Linked DNA regions of Tamandua tetradactyla. The protein of the gene in region 1 interacts with the protein of each later gene in a biochemical or structural test. Links are inferred from orthologs where the notes say so. Each region holds a gene or a part of one and is shown on either strand. Other genes may lie near its edges.

Region 1 (7,592 bases):
TCACTGGGAGAAAGAGGAGGCTTAGCCATATACATGATCTTGCACACTGCAAAGAAGGCCCCATACAGGACCACTGGACACTGCTAGACACCCTCCAGATGGCGCAGGTAACCCTGCCCATCATCTGTTCTCCAGATCTTTCTCCAACATGCTCCTTAACTGAGACCTGCAGGGCACTCCCATCCAATGCTTCACGCAGTATTTTCTCTACAACGCTATTAAGCCTTAATAATCCAGGCTTCTGGCATAGGTTTCTGACATTAAAAGGTAGTCTTAAAAATAAGAAACAGTTAAAATTAAATTTAAACTTATTCATAGTTCATTTTTACTGAGCACTTACTAAATGCCAGGCAGGTACTGTTCTGCATACTAAATTAGCTTACATAATATCCACAAGAAAACCATTTTACAGATGAGGAAACATTTTCAGTGGTGATGGACCTCAAGAAAAAGCCTGGGGAGGTATATGATGTATGACGTAGGGTCTCTTGCCTCAATGAGGTGCCAAATGGTATGGGAGATGAGAGGAGGAAGTTCTGAGGAAGTTAATAACTACAAGGTACATCACATTAAGGGAACCTAGTAAAGTAAGGATTTGTTCAGGATGCTGGAGGGCTTCAGGAGGAGGCATACAAGGGGAGGTGAGGATAAATGCATGAATTTTCCATAACTAAGCTCCAGCCCTCAGCTCCCAAAGCTCCCAAAAGTTCTGGCAATTCCCTCTGCCCCCTCCTCCATTTCACCCAGTACAAGCCTGATTCCAAGAGAGAATCAGCCCAGACCTTCTTTCCCTTGACACATTCTTCCAGCAGCTGCCCACCCTGCCAACCCAACAGGCACATGTAGGAGCTTTTCACCATGCTCAACTTTGCCACCTCCTTGGCACTTTCATGGGGGAGAATATGCATCATGCTGTCTGATCCCACGCAAGCCACTGGGATCCCCTTAAGACGACTCCAGTCGTTTTCTGTTGGGTTAATATATATGCCCCAAACCAAGAAGATTAAGGGACACTCCACCCACCGCCACCCCTCAAAAGCTTCTTCCATCCTTTTAGTGGTCCACCCCTCCTTTATGGGCTTCTAAGGGAAGAATCTGTGTCCTCCCTGTCTGAAATCAGCCCCTGCAGTTCCTCAGGACCATCCTCCCAGCCTCCAGAACCCTTCCTCCCCAATGCTTAAGGTTCAAATCCTGGGATGTGGTAGCTGTGTGACCTTGGGCAAGTCACTTAACCATTGTCAGTTCCCATTTACTTATCTGTAATATAGGGTTTATAAAAATAACTCGGCCTTAGAATTGTGACTCAAAGCAGGATCTTGCAGGTAAAGCATTTTACACAGAGCCTTGCATGTAGTAAGTGATAAATGAATGGCTGCTATTGTTTTCATCATTACTAATGATGTTGGTGGTGATGGTGTTAGCCTAAAACTTGGGCTTGATCTGAGGTTTGAAGGACGTGCTCCCTCCTCCCTCCTTCCCCCCCCCCCCGTCCCAGCCCCCACTGGGCCACCCGGTGGAGACACATGCGTCATCCAGCTGTAGGGTGAATGCAGGATCTTCAGAGGCTGACTTAGACTCTGCCAGGCGGTCAAGCCCAGTCCACCTGGAGGGGCTGCGAGATGAAAACCGATTTTCTGATGGAAGGGATCCAGCAAACCGGAGACCCTCTCCTGCCTCACACCCACTCTCCAGGTCTGGAAACAAGTCAAGTAGCAGAAAAACGCCAGCAGCTGCGCCCGCTGCATTCCTCCCCCAAGGAGCCGGGAGAGTGCCCACCTTTGCCCTTGTCTCAGCTCTCTAACTCTTCTCCAGACACGGGAGAGGTTGAGCTGCGCTCGGCGGCTAAAATAAGCTAGCACATTAGGCCTAGGAAATGTGTCCTTTCTTTCCTGCGCAAACCCTGGACGCCTCTAACAAACGCAGGTAGGCAAACAATCCAACAACTTTGAGTATCTCTCCACCATAGAGCGCACCGCCTCAACTTCCCCGTTAGCTTCACTGCGAGAAGAGTAGCGGAAATCAAAGTTAGGGGGTCAGGTCGTAGGCCGCCCCCATCGGGGGAGGGCGCCACCGTGAGGTACGCCCCATCTTACCTTGTCTGACGGCTTTGAAGGTGACGGCCTCCTTGCAGCTGTCGATGACTCCCAGCACGTCATAGCGGGGCAAGCCGGACACCCGGATCCCCTGCACCTCCAGAAGCAGCTCCCCTTCGCCCAGCCTCGGGCCCTCGCTGCCGCCGGGAAGCCCCGGCGTCTCCGCCGCCGCCACCGTTCCGACATACGGAAACTCCCCATTCTCAGCGCCCCCCAGCACCGTCACCCCCAGCTCGCCCTGGGGTCCCCGCTTCACGGTGCATTCGTGAACCCTGCTAGTCCAGTGGTTCTTCTTTTGGATCACTTTCGACATGATGAGGTACACCCCTCCTCCAAAAAATAAATAAATGAGAGACAGGTGGCCCCCAAGCACAAGCCCCCAGAGCTCCGCTGGTTCATAGGAGAGAGATCTCCCTCCAAATAACGCCACTCGAGAGCGAAAGTTGGCAGCCTCGCTTCCCTGCACACACTCGTGCACTCAAGCCATCATAAAACAAACTTTCTCGGCTCCCCCGCGAGCCCTGCACAGGCACCCGCGAGCTTTGTTTGCATTCCGGTGCCTCTTGGTTCGCGTTCCGGCGCCCGACCCGGCTCTCCAGGACCAGAGTCCACTCTGCGCCGCTTGGGTTATTTTTTTTTTTCCTTCCTTCCTTCCTTTCTTTCTTGCCGTTTAGAAATGCGGTGCCTCCTCTAACGCCTCCCGCCTGGCTCGCCTTTCCTCGCTGCTGGGTTGTTCTTGCGGTTGAGGGAAGCCCTTCCAGCCCAGTTGCTTGGAGCCCTGGAGACGCGGTCGCGGAGCGGGGGTGGGGGAAACTGGAGGGAAGTGCGGGCGGCCCCTTTAAGCAGATACAAAGGCTCAGCTTGTTTTGTTACATTTCATTCTATTCCGCGCCGCGGAGCGCTGCGACCGGCGAAAGCAGACGCGCGCGCATGCGCCCCGCCGCCGCCGGCCGGCCAGCCCGCCCCACCCCTCCTTCCCGGAGAGAAAGATTCCAGTGTGCTTCCCGTTGGGTCCTAAAACCGACCTGTCTGGAGACACCCACTTACCTTCCCTCTTCACAACCCCCCTGCTTTCTCCTCTTTTTTCAATGGCCGGAGATTCAGCAAAACCCTTCAGGGGTGAGAGGACACTCAGATGTTTTGGCCAAACTGTTTGCAACTTCTGAAACACGGACAATCCGGCTTTGGGAGTTCAAAATCATTTCAAACAGGTGGGGGTTGGGAGGCTCATACACTCACCCTCGCGCTCGAACTTGCACTCACGCACACACGCACGCACTCACGCCGGCCCTAAGCCTCCTAACTGCTCTCGGCCGGTGACTGGCCAAGCTATAGGTCCTCTAAACCCCTGAGACCGACCCGGAGGCGCGATCCTGCTGCTGCCTGCTCGGCGGGATCGGGTCCTGGTGTAGGTCTGCTGCACTCTCTGCCACCCGGGGGAGGAGGGCGGTGGGGTCTCCTGGGCCTCCCCAGTGTCCCTTGAGAATCACGCGCCCCCCTCCCACGCACCCACCAGAACCTTTAAACTTTGGAGCCAACTTTTTAGAACAGACAGAAAAAGGCGCGCTAGAGAAGCTAAAGGGTGAGCGGAGATTCGCATCTCCGCAGTTAGATAGGAACTAGATTTTGAACCGTACTTCCATCAAAGACTTCGGAAGCCAGCCACCTGCCCCGGGCTCAAGCTCCCGGAGGAGGCAGGAAGCCTTCGGGGGACAGGAGATAAGGATCGCTACCAGGTCTGGGAACGACTCCCGCGTCCTGGCGCCCGCGGCTTCGGTGCGGCCACCGCCTCTCGGAATTTGCAGCCGCCGGGTCGCTGCTGCCTGCGGCGCCGCGGCGGGGGTGGTGGGGGTAGGGTGAGAGCTCGGAACGAGCTTGGTGGCCTCGAACAGAAAGAATACCCACCGCCCGGAAAGCTGCTCTCTCCAAATACCACCTGGGAGGCAGTACCCCAAGCAATTTCTTCCCCCCCTTGGAGATTTGTAACCTGTTTATTCATCTTTGGTCACAGGAGAGATTCTCGGTGCTAAATATGGATGGTGAGTTGAAGGGACAGAGAGCTGCTCTCTGGAGTTTATTTAGGTTCCCAATGGTCCGCTCTCTCTATGACTTTGGAGGAGCTCCTTGACTTCTCTGAGCCTCCCCTTTCTACTCTGTAAACCAAGAGTTCTGGAGAGCATTACATGGGAGAATACTTGTAAAGTGCTAAGCTTGTAAAGTGAATACTTGTAAAACGGCATTTAATTAAAGTTCTTTATATTTATTGGTATTATTATTTGGAAAGGGAATTACGAAAGCATTTGGGGTTCCAAGTTAGGCGATAATCATACCCTCCTTTCTAGAGCTTAAAAATATGTAGGCATATATTTAAATAATGTTAAAGCCTGTTTGTATGGTGCTATTCTAAGCTAATAATAATAAGGGAAGAATGTTGATGCATCTCTCTTGGGATATCCAAGACTGAAAATCCCATTTTTCGATAGTGTTTCTGAAAGATTTTCCGTGGCCCTCCTTGGTAAGCAGAATTTCATTTCCAGCCTCTTTTCTGGGAAACAACTGCCTCAAATCTGACTGTATATAAAAAATCAGCAGGGAGCTTCAAAATGCAGATTTCCAAGCCCAACTCCAGATTCATTCAATCAGAATCTCAGGAATGGACTCTAGCATCTGGGTTTTTAAGGATTCCCTCAAATGATTCTGGTACACAACACTGAAGGCCACAGTTTCAATATCATGATTCCTAAGCATTTTTTTGTGTCACTGACCCTTTTTGAGAATATACCTGTGGTCCATCTCTCTCTAGAATGTAAGCTACAGGAGGGCAGGGAACTGTGGCAGTAAACTTTGGTTTTACTGATATATCCCCATTTCCTAGAATAGTGCCCAGTGCCTGGTAAATGTACTAGGAAACTAGTATGTAAATCTGTTTTGAAATTGAGTGATACACTTGCTCCATTGACTTCCATGCACTTGAGTGAAATACCCCATTTTCACAGAGCATTCACCTAGTGTTCTACAAAACTAGTGTGTAACTCACTTTAAAAAAAGTATTTGTTGAATAAGTCTTCCCAGAAAAATGTGCTTTTGGCATAGCATATTGAAAGGCAAATCACTAGGAAGTATTGACCTTGCATGCTTTCCTACTTCCTCATTCCATATTTTAGTCAAGTCTGCTAGCCAGGAATTCCCCCACCTGTCTGGAATCAGTGTTAAGGGGAAAGTTCTTAGAATTAGGGTACTTCAGATTTTAGATGTGGAATAGCCCCAAGAGAAGGGGTACCTGCAAGTACAGAAGGCAGGATAAGTGGAATAATCCAAGAAAATAAAAAGAAATCATTTGAAACTCCAAAGCAACCAAAGCTGCCTATTTCCAGGCATGTTCAACCTCTCTGCCCCTCCTCTTACCCCTTCTGTTCTGTCCTGTTTCTCCTGGTCTAGTTCCTTTGTCCCAGACAGGAAACTCCTTCAGGACAGAAATCCTTTGAATCATCAGCACCTAAACCATGCCTCCATGCACATACTGAATGAATGAATGGATAGATGAAGTGTGACATTAAGCTGTATAATATGTGGCCTTGGACCCAAAGTCAATTTAGATTTGGTAGCTAGAGGAAAAGTACTTGTAGATTATTTTCTTCATAGAGTGTATAGTTATCTCGTTTTGAAGTACATTTCCCTTGAATAAATGTAAAGTAGCATCCTACCGTCCCAATGTTTCTCATTGTTGCTATGACTTTAGCAATATATTCTGATGAGGAAATAATACCATAAGGTACTTAACCTTGGGGTTTACCATGTATGGCAGGATTTTTGCCTGTATTATTTTACTTAATCCTCACAACAACATCATGAGGTAGGTATTATGATGAATGACCCTGCTTTTGCAACTGAGGCAAATGAAACTGGGGATGTGAAGGAATTTGCCTAAGGTCAGAGTTTGGAAGTGACAAAGCCAGCATGTGAAACCAGAGACATGCCCAAAACCCATGCCCATAACCACCGCACCACTGGAGTACAGGGAGTGGGCATTCATCCCCCTTGAACATATTTGGTAACTACATCTTCTTGCTTCTTGAGTCTGCCATATAGTGTGTGCATAATAATTGTCACCCTCTTCTCCATTGTCTCCATTCCTTCCCTTTAATCCGAAGGGATACAGTGTTCCATTCAGGAATCCAGTCTCCTGTATCCCATCTGTGGGCTTTGACAATGGAATAATTTACTGGAATGTAAAGAGGATTAACTTGCAAACATTTCTAAAGTGTTTGTAGATTTGTGGGCTGCAGTATAGGTAAAGTGCCAAACATTTTTATATTGTTAATGCACAAGCATTTCAACAAAAAAACTCTTAATATAAAACACCATGGATTCAGATGAGAAATAAAACTATGGCACCCAATATACTCTCAACAAATTAAGATCATGTTTTCCTATGATCTACTAGAGGGAGGAAAAAACCCTGTGGATAGGAAATGTGTATTTCTCCTTCTTGTCCCATTCCATTTCTTCCCACAGTTTTCCAGGGGTAATTAAAGAAACATATCATTGCAGTTTGAAGTGGTGCTTCACCTTATTTTGATGAAAATGTGAGGATGGGAAGTAAGTGGTTCATCTGTGGAGCAAAGTAGCAAACATAAATTTGTTATCCTTCAGTTTCTGAAGAATGCAGCCAGGGGCTACCTTAGAGATAGGAATTTAAGTACTTTGTTCCCAGTAAGGTAGCTGACTCCATGATGGTGGCCTAGAGCAGAAGACCTACCGGGGAGGGCAAAGCCAGCATTTCAGGTAGAGAGTAAATGGCAGACGGTGCCATTTTCCTAGTCACCTCTGGAGGCTTCTCTGATTCCCATAATACCTGTTCTGTCCCTCACCAGGGTGGCAGATGGGCAGTTTCCTCTGCCCCTAGTATTCCTACCTTTAGTTATTTCAACTAAACTATAAATAAAATACTAATTTTTGTGACCTTTCAAGACATCACATGTGAACTATTATTTTAATACCCCAGAAGAGGAACTCTGGGAATACGGTTTAAATAGGGTTTAAATCCTGGCTAATGTTCATGTTCGCCATTTTCTGGTTCAATATCAAAAAAGGAATATTGATAACTGGAAGATCTGGAATTAGATGTAAGGTCTAATCTATTTAGGAACTAAGAGAAACCCAAGAATTTATCTGGGGAATCACTCCTAAAATTCCCCCAAATTGTCCAGCCGTCTAAAACATTAGGTATCCCAAGTTAAAAAGATCATCCTGCCTAATTCTGCTGAAAATATGTCTGATGATATTGCTAATTTCTTTCAGAACAGTAAATCAGCATTTTCTTGTGAACAGACATTTGTAGCTCTTACTCTCCTGCCCCACTTCTGTAAAAATATGGTAATTTGGACAAGGTAGATGCTTAAATAAGATTTTATTATCAAGGGTGTTTGCTCCCTGATATTTCTTCCTCTTTCTTCTTGTGTATCTTTATTAATTTACCGCACTCAAAGCAGAACTCAA
Region 2 (7,689 bases), on another chromosome or scaffold:
TATTTTGAAGATACACAATCCCCAAAATGTTACTTAAGTCAAGTGCAGCAGATGGAATCTTGAAAACGCCTACAAGTAGTCTAGAATACTTTAAATCCGGCTGTGAAAAATTAGGGCGAATCTGCAGCGCTCAGTAGGGGCAAGTATATTTGGTCTAAAAGCACTTTGCTATGTTATCGAGTCATGAAAAGCTATTCAAAGAGCTATATCGGAAATCCGATCTGTATTTTGAGCAAAACACGCTGTCTTTTCCACTATCACTGACCCCTTACAGGCACATGGTACATAATCTTGATTGTGCTTCATTGGTATTTATTGCACATGGACCAATTCCTCACACAGTAGTTAGTTGCACCAGAGTATAAATACTTGGCAAAATATGCAAGAGGAAATAGAATTTACACACAAGTGCTAAATTTTACCAACATATTCACGTGGGCAATTAGACATAAAAAAATTAAAAAAAAAACCCTTAAGATAAGTATAGTTATAATATGGATACAATTACAGTACCATGATAAAAGAGTATAAAAAGATATTTTACCAATAAATCATTAGCTCAATAATATAATAGACAACAGAAGTAGAGTTTTAACTTTTAGCTTTTAAGATGCACCCCCCTTTAAAAATATTTAATTTCCCTTTGTGCAAATAACATCTTCTGTGGACTTTGTAATTTCTAACACTGTGCAAAAATGGCATTTTGAACTACTCCTTGTTTTATTTTTTATTTTTATCCAAATGTACGGTAATCTGTTTTGATATTAGAACTGTTTCCCCCATTTTTTTTTCTTTTCTGTCCTGTCTTCAATTGACAATCACATGTTATGGAGGCTCAGTGCCTGGTCCTTCCGACTAATATTGATACATAAATAGGCTGTTTAATATAAACAAGTCTTTTAGCTTGCTGTGCAATATGCACAGCGTGAGGTAGAAATCCCAGAGCCTGACCCCCGAGGCACGGGGGACAGCAAGTTTGCCCTACAAAAGGAAAGCAAGGTGAGATTTGTTCCAAGAATAGCTTATTCTTGAAACTTGATTTTTGCATCCATCCTTTCTCTTTGCTTTAAGAACAGGGGATATCATTACTTGAGAGTTTGAGAGAAAGTTCTCTAGAAAGCAAAAAGGAACATGTTCTGACAAACTGTCTCACGCCCCTCCCCTCCCCCTCCCGGGCCATAGCCGGGTTGACTGTGCTCTTGTTCCTGAGAACAGATGGAAGCTAAGTTGATAGACTTTCATCCCTATCCCTACAGCTTCTCCTTTCCCCTCCCACCCAATTTGCACTCAGGTCTTTGCAGCAGGTGTGACCACCTGCGAGGGGGAAAAAAATCTAAGATGCATTACAAGCACAAGCAAAAGAAGGCCGAACCACGAACAGAAAAGAATCCAAGAGAAATCAGCAAGCCACTTTCCCACCCCTCCCAAACTTTCCTTTTTGTGCAACGGTCCGTGGCTTTTCTGTCTGTCTCGGATGATTCAGACGAGGTTTGTGGGCTTTGAGTTCACCTGCCTTCGGTCTTGAGTAAACACAGACCTTTTCTTTTCCCTGGGAAGCCATTCGGGAACGCTGGGTCTTTCCTCCCCCGGGGTGCAGACTCCACGTCCCGGCTAGAGTGGCGGGGAGCGGGCCCTACACCTTCGAGTCCGAGGCAGAGCCCGGGCGGCTCGGCTCGTCCAGGCTCGAGTCGCTGTCCATCGCCGCCCCGCCGTTACAGCCGGCCCAGGGCTCCAGCAGGCGCGCGGGCGGCGCGGCCCCGACGTCGTCGTCGTCGGAGGCGGCCCCTGGCGACGGCAGCTGCCGGGTCACTGCCAGGCAGCCGGGGGTGCGCGGCCGGTCGCCGGCGGCCGCGTGGCGTCTCCGGGCCGCCCGGCGCGCGCTGCAGAGCAGGCCCTGGAAGGCCTTGCGGAAGTCCGGGCTGCGGCAGTAGATGATGGGGTTGAAGGCCGAGTTGGCGTAGCCCAGCCAGTTGAAGAAGACGAAGAGGCGGTCGGGCACCAGGTCGCGGTGGAAGGCCTTCACCACGTTGGCCAGGAAGAAGGGCAGCCAGCAGAGCGTGAACACGCCCATGATGATGCCCAGCGTCTTGAGCGCCTTCTGCTCGCGTAGGGCCACGAGGCGCGAGGGCCGCCGCTTGCTGGTGCGTCCGTTGGCCAGAGGGGCGGCGGCGCGCGGGGACCCCGGCGAGCGGGCGGGCGAGGCTGGCGGCGCGGGGCCACCGAGGAAGCGGCGCTCGCAGCTGTCGATCTTCTTCACCTGCTTCTGGGCCTCGCGGAAAACCCGCAGGTACACGAAGGCCATGATGCACAGGGGCACGTAGAAAGAGACCACGGACGAGGCGATAGCGTAGGCCCTGTTGGTGACGAAGTCGCAGCACTTGGGGTCGTTGTAGCAGCGGCGCGCCTCTTCGCCCTCGGCCCGCCACCAGTGCATGAGGATGGGCAGGAAGGACACCAGGGCCGAGATGGCCCACACGGTGCACACGAGGGTCCGCGCCCGCGCACGGGTCAGCAGGCTCTGGTAGCGGAAGGGCGACGTGATGGCGAGGTAGCGGTCCAGGGCGATGACACACAGGGTCTCGATGCTGGCCGTCACGCACAGCACGTCCACCGAGGTCCAGAGCTCGCAGAAGAAGGAACCGTATTCCCAGCGGCCCCACACCACGATGGTGGCCCCGAACGGCACCACCAGCAGCCCCATGACCAGGTCGGCGCTGGCCAGGGACATGATGAAGAGGTTGGTGAGCGTCTGCAGCCGCGGCGTCTTGGCGATGGCCACGATCACCAGCACGTTGCCCGCCACGATGAGCAACACGATGAGCGCCATCAGCAGGCCCATGCCGGCCGTCCACTGCTGTGACAGCGGCGCGGGGACCTCGCTCAACGTGGGCAGCGGCGACGAGGCGGGCGACGCGGGCACCAGTAGCCGCGCTGCAGTGGCCGCACCGTCGGGGAGCGGCGCGGCAGACGACAGGTTGCAGGGCTCGGAGGCGCCCAGGGCGAGCGCCCCCGCGCCCATGCCGAGCTGCGGAGGCCGGGGGCGGGGTGTGTGGCGGGGCTGGGCCGTGGCTGGGGGAGTACCCCAGAAGCCGGGGCGGCGGGGCTCGCGGACGAAGGTCGCGGCCAGGTCAGCGCAGCCGCGGCGCAGGGCCCGAGGCATCGGCGCGGGGCGCCTTCTCCGAGGGAGCCGAGCGTTGTCGCCGCCGCCGCCGCCGCCGCTGCTGCTGGAGCCGCTGCCGCTGCTGGAACGACCGCCGAGACCTCCGCATGTTTCTGAGCGCGCCGGCCCGCTCCTCCGGCACCCAGCACCCACCCCACCGGCTCCCACTCCTCCAAGCCACCCCCGGGGCATCGCGTCAAGCTCCCGCAGCCAATCGAGGCAAAGGCACGCCCCTATCTGGTCCTCCCCAGTCCCCGGCACCTCCCTCTCAGCGCTTTGGAGCGGCTCGGGGAGGGGGAGTAAGCTGCTGAGCGCTGTGCGAGCGCCTTGCTGGGGTTTGCCGGGTCCTGCGCACGCCTCGTCCCGCACCGCGGGCCCCAGCGCCCAGTTTCCTGCGCCCCCTACAGCGCCCAGCTCCTGCGCGTTTCTCAGCCGGCTTCTGCGGCTCCCTCTCCCTCCAGTATTCCGCTCCCGGCTGCGTGCGATTTCTGCCTCCCGCGTTCGGCTTCTGTCTGCACTCCCGCTGCCTCCCGCCCATCCCTTCAGTCCCCCCACCCTCCCGGCGCGTCCTTTACCTCCAGCGCCCGGGTCTCCCGCAGAGCATCGCGCGCACTCCCTTTAGCCGGGAGGGAACCTCCGTGTTCTTGAAGCGCCACAGCTCCTCCTCGGACAGTCTGTCCGCTGGGGTTGGAGGAGTTTGACTGCGAGATTGTTTCTCAGACAACCCAGATGGGTGTGTGTAAAGCCCTTTCCTTGCCAAAAGGGGACCTTGCCAGCCTGCGTCCTGCCAGCTCGGGGAATCAGAGGCAGGTGTAGGTGGTTAGAGGAAACTTTCCAGCCGAACGCGTTAAGCAAACCGCTCATCTGTCGGAACGCTCTCTGGCGCTGTTCTTGCAGGGATCTTCAGTCGTTTCAGTGCAGTAGATGCAGAAAGGAAGCTAAGGTTTCTGCTCCTAACAGCTAACGCTGAGGATCAATTGCAAAAACACACACTCCCCAGTCCCAGCTAATGAATGTGTGAATATGCCGCAACAGTGTGTGTCGGTAATATAGAGAGATTTAGAGAAACAAATGTTGACATAAAAAGTAAATGGCACCGCCGTGAAGAAAGAACACATTTAATTACATTTCAGACCTTTCACATTCAGTAATGACACCTGTATTTTGTTTTTTATTACGCATGTGATTTCATATTGGAGCTGAGTCAATACAAACAAAAAGGAACTGCCAGTTTTGGTTGAAATAATGACCTGAGACTTCAGATTTCTTGGTCTGAGCCATCTTTTCTCCTGTGCCCAAATTCCAGATTCTCAAAACTCTAGGATTAGTCCTGGAAGGATGAGAGAAGGAAATATGTAAATATTCAAGATGATTGAAAAACGAAAGGATTTAAAGCTGTAACAGTAGGTTTTGAATTAGCAATTGAATCAGCTTGACATGAATGAGCTGTTAGCTGAGCTGTGTGGGGATTATATGAAGGGACAGACAGGATTGTCACCAATACAAGCCGGAAGGAGACTGCAAACCCTTTCTCTAATTTGGATCTGGTAATGTCCTCAAATTAAAGATCTTTAATTAAATCTTTGAGAAATAATCAACTTCTAGTTTTCCATGTAGGGGTGCATGAAAATGGTATTCAATGCTCACACATCTTTCTAGCACTGAAATTTTAAAAACAGCTTCTGGAAGGAACATCAACATCTAGACCAAACATATTCTTACCTTGCAGAGAGATGCTGATTTCTACAACTATCCAACTCAAGAGCAGAAAATAAAGCTCATTAACTTTACAAAGTCAAGCAGTTTTTAACTACTTTCTCCGAAATCCAAGCATATAAATTTGCTTTTGATTCAAATTTGATATTCAGAATGTTATAACCAGGGAGTGATTTATTTGTTTATTCACCCCTGCCCTAGTACTGTCAATCTGGGGAGACTGAAGAAGGGAAACAAGGAAACAAGAGGGGCTGGAAAGAGGAGAGGAACAGGCTTGAATTCTTAGTTACCCAAGTCTTTTCAAACTGAGTCTCCCCTTCAGGCACCTTTCAGAACCTCAACGGACAGTCTCAAAATAGCCAAGGAATTGGAAAGGGTTGAAATTGATGCTGCCCAGGAAGAGGGTTGAGTGCCTGGCTGCTGGGTGAGGGTGTGGGGAAAAAGCTTTCCATTGGGTGCCATCTTTTTGTCAAGTGGTGCTACCAGAATAGAGAGTGTCAACCTTAAGTGCCCCTGAAGGGTGAAGGAGCTGCATTTCTGGAAGAGATAAGGCCAGACCTTGGTTGTGGACTTGCAGTGAAGAACTGTGCAAGGTAAGGACTCTCCTGCCTAAGTAAATGTATAAGCACACCATGTAGCAACTTGAATTAGTTTTCTTTTAAAATAAAATCTTCCCAGTGACCTTTAATTCTTATATTTCATGGCTTTTTTGATCTTTTTTTTTTTTTTTTGCTAGATTTTTTTGTGCTTAGATGAAGACACAAGATAAAGAGGAAAAGGTTCAGCGTTTCAACTTAGACAGGTATTACATGTTTGGGGGCTTGCCTCTTCAAAATGAATAACTCCTCTATCTCCCCATTCCCATCCATAGCTGTTAAAGAGAATCTGTTCCTAGGAACCCACATATTTGGCAATACTTCAGAATATAGCAAAGCACTCCAACAATAATTCCAATCAGCACACTTAAGAAATAGTGTACTCCTTCCTCCATATTCCCTGCCTCCACCTCACCAGACCTATCCCACCGCCATCACCTGTATTTGAACTTGTGGGTTCTATTTGGCCTCCCCCCTGCATTGAATCCAGCATATCATAGTCTAATTAATGTTCTGAAAGTACTGCTTTGACTAAGATGCTTCTCGGTTTAGAAACCTAACTTCTCAACTTGGCTTTCAGAGATCTTCACAGTCTAGCCACAAACTTCCTTTCCAGCGCTCTCTCTCATTAGAACGCTCTACATCAGCTTAACTTGCAGTTTCCTAAGCTGCTCAACCAAATACCATGCAGTGAGTAGGCTTCAACAGTGGGAATTTATTAGCTTATGGTTTGAGGCTAAAAGAAAGTCCAAATTAAGGCATCATCAAGACAGTGCTCTCTCCCCAAAGACTGTGGCATTCTGGGGCTGGTTGCTGGTGACCCTAGGTCCTTAGTTTGTCACATGGCAAGGCATAGGTGGTATTTTCTGGTCTCTCCCTTCTCTTCTGGGTTTCATTGATGTTCAGCTTCTGGCTGCTCCCTTTGTGACTCTCTCTCTGTCTGAATTTCACTCTGCTTATAAAGGACTCAGTAATAGGATTTCAGAGCTGTCCTCATTGAGGTGGGCCACAATTTAAATGAAAGAACCTCATCAAAAGGTCCTATTTACAATGGGTTCCACTCCCACAGGAATGCATTAAATTTAAGAGCATGTTTTAATGGGCTACAGACAGCTTCAAACCACCCCAGTACTCTTTCCTTTCCTGCATCTGTGCTTTTTCTCCCTGGGTTCCTTCCACCAAGAATTCCCTCTTCCATGTCTGCCTCAGTGAATTCAGCCTTCAAGATCTGACTAAGGTCTTCTCCTGCTATCTTCCCTGACTACTGCTTCTGGAAATGGTCTCTCCTTCCTCTGTCCTACAATGCTTAACTATGATTTTTGCCATTCAGGAGGCAATTAGCAATATATTGCTTTTTGAGATCTCTTATATTGCTATCTTGTGTAATTTTTACATGTTTTTCTCTTGCTTTCTCATATGGATTGTAAGTTCAGTGAGAGCCAGGACTAGCCCACCCATTTTTATAGCCCCTCAAATTACTAATATTTATTTTTATTAATTAATATTTAGTACTGGTTCACAAATATTTAATATTTAATTTAATAATGTATATTCATACTTATGAGAAATAATTGTTTTGATTGTTAAAATATTTACTCATGCTTACCATTCATAATAATAAACCTTTAGCATACTTGATATTTTCATATAAGCATTTCGAAAACACTTTACAAATATAAGAGAGGCTCATGAGAAAAATTTTTGTCATACCTATTTAGTAATGAATGAAGTAAGGTATAGGCAAGGGGCTTTCTAAAGGGGCCAATACGAGATCACAGTAATAAAAAGTATTACCTTATCTTCACAAACGATCAAGATGAAGGGAATTTTTCCCTCTGCTTTCATTTACGGTATTATATACCCAGCCATCTCTGCCCTGGGAGAATAGCTAATGACTTGAATCTGGTGTCAAGTTCTATATCAAATTAAAAGTCTGCAGAACAGTGATCAGTGGGCATCTGACCCATTCTACCCCTATGTGCCATGGAGCTGGCAAAGACATTCCATTCTTGTGTTACTGCTGCCAGCAAAAGGGCTAAAATTAAAAGTGAACAGACTAATGGGATAACTGCTGGCTGATGGGGCAGAGGAAGTCGGGGTGAGTAACTGGAGATTTCTAAGTAAACTTTGAAGTACATCAAATCTCCTGGTTAGCTAAAATTGCTGTGACACTGCTAATAGGTGGTGGGATTTGCTAATCAGAGCTCAAGTGGCTGC

Evidence for each region.
Region 2: the proteins of MAGI1 (region 1) and ADRB1 interact in a test that uses a peptide from one of them, tested with the Homo sapiens proteins (2 studies listed by IntAct). The link is inferred for Tamandua tetradactyla from reciprocal best matches to the Homo sapiens genes MAGI1 and ADRB1.

The regions. Positions count from the first base shown.
Region 1 is NC_135341.1:18,498,616-18,506,207, reverse strand, and holds the start of MAGI1 (membrane-associated guanylate kinase, WW and PDZ domain-containing protein 1), read right to left. Parts: upstream 3,010-7,592; 5' UTR 2,407-3,009; coding exon 2,094-2,406; intron 1-2,093. UniProt on the Homo sapiens protein: Plays a role in coupling actin fibers to cell junctions in endothelial cells, via its interaction with AMOTL2 and CDH5. May regulate acid-induced ASIC3 currents by modulating its expression at the cell surface.
Region 2 is NC_135339.1:76,001,810-76,009,498, reverse strand, and holds the start of ADRB1 (beta-1 adrenergic receptor), read right to left. Parts: upstream 3,020-7,689; coding exon 1,634-3,019; 3' UTR 1-1,633. UniProt on the Homo sapiens protein: Beta-adrenergic receptors mediate the catecholamine-induced activation of adenylate cyclase through the action of G proteins. This receptor binds epinephrine and norepinephrine with approximately equal affinity.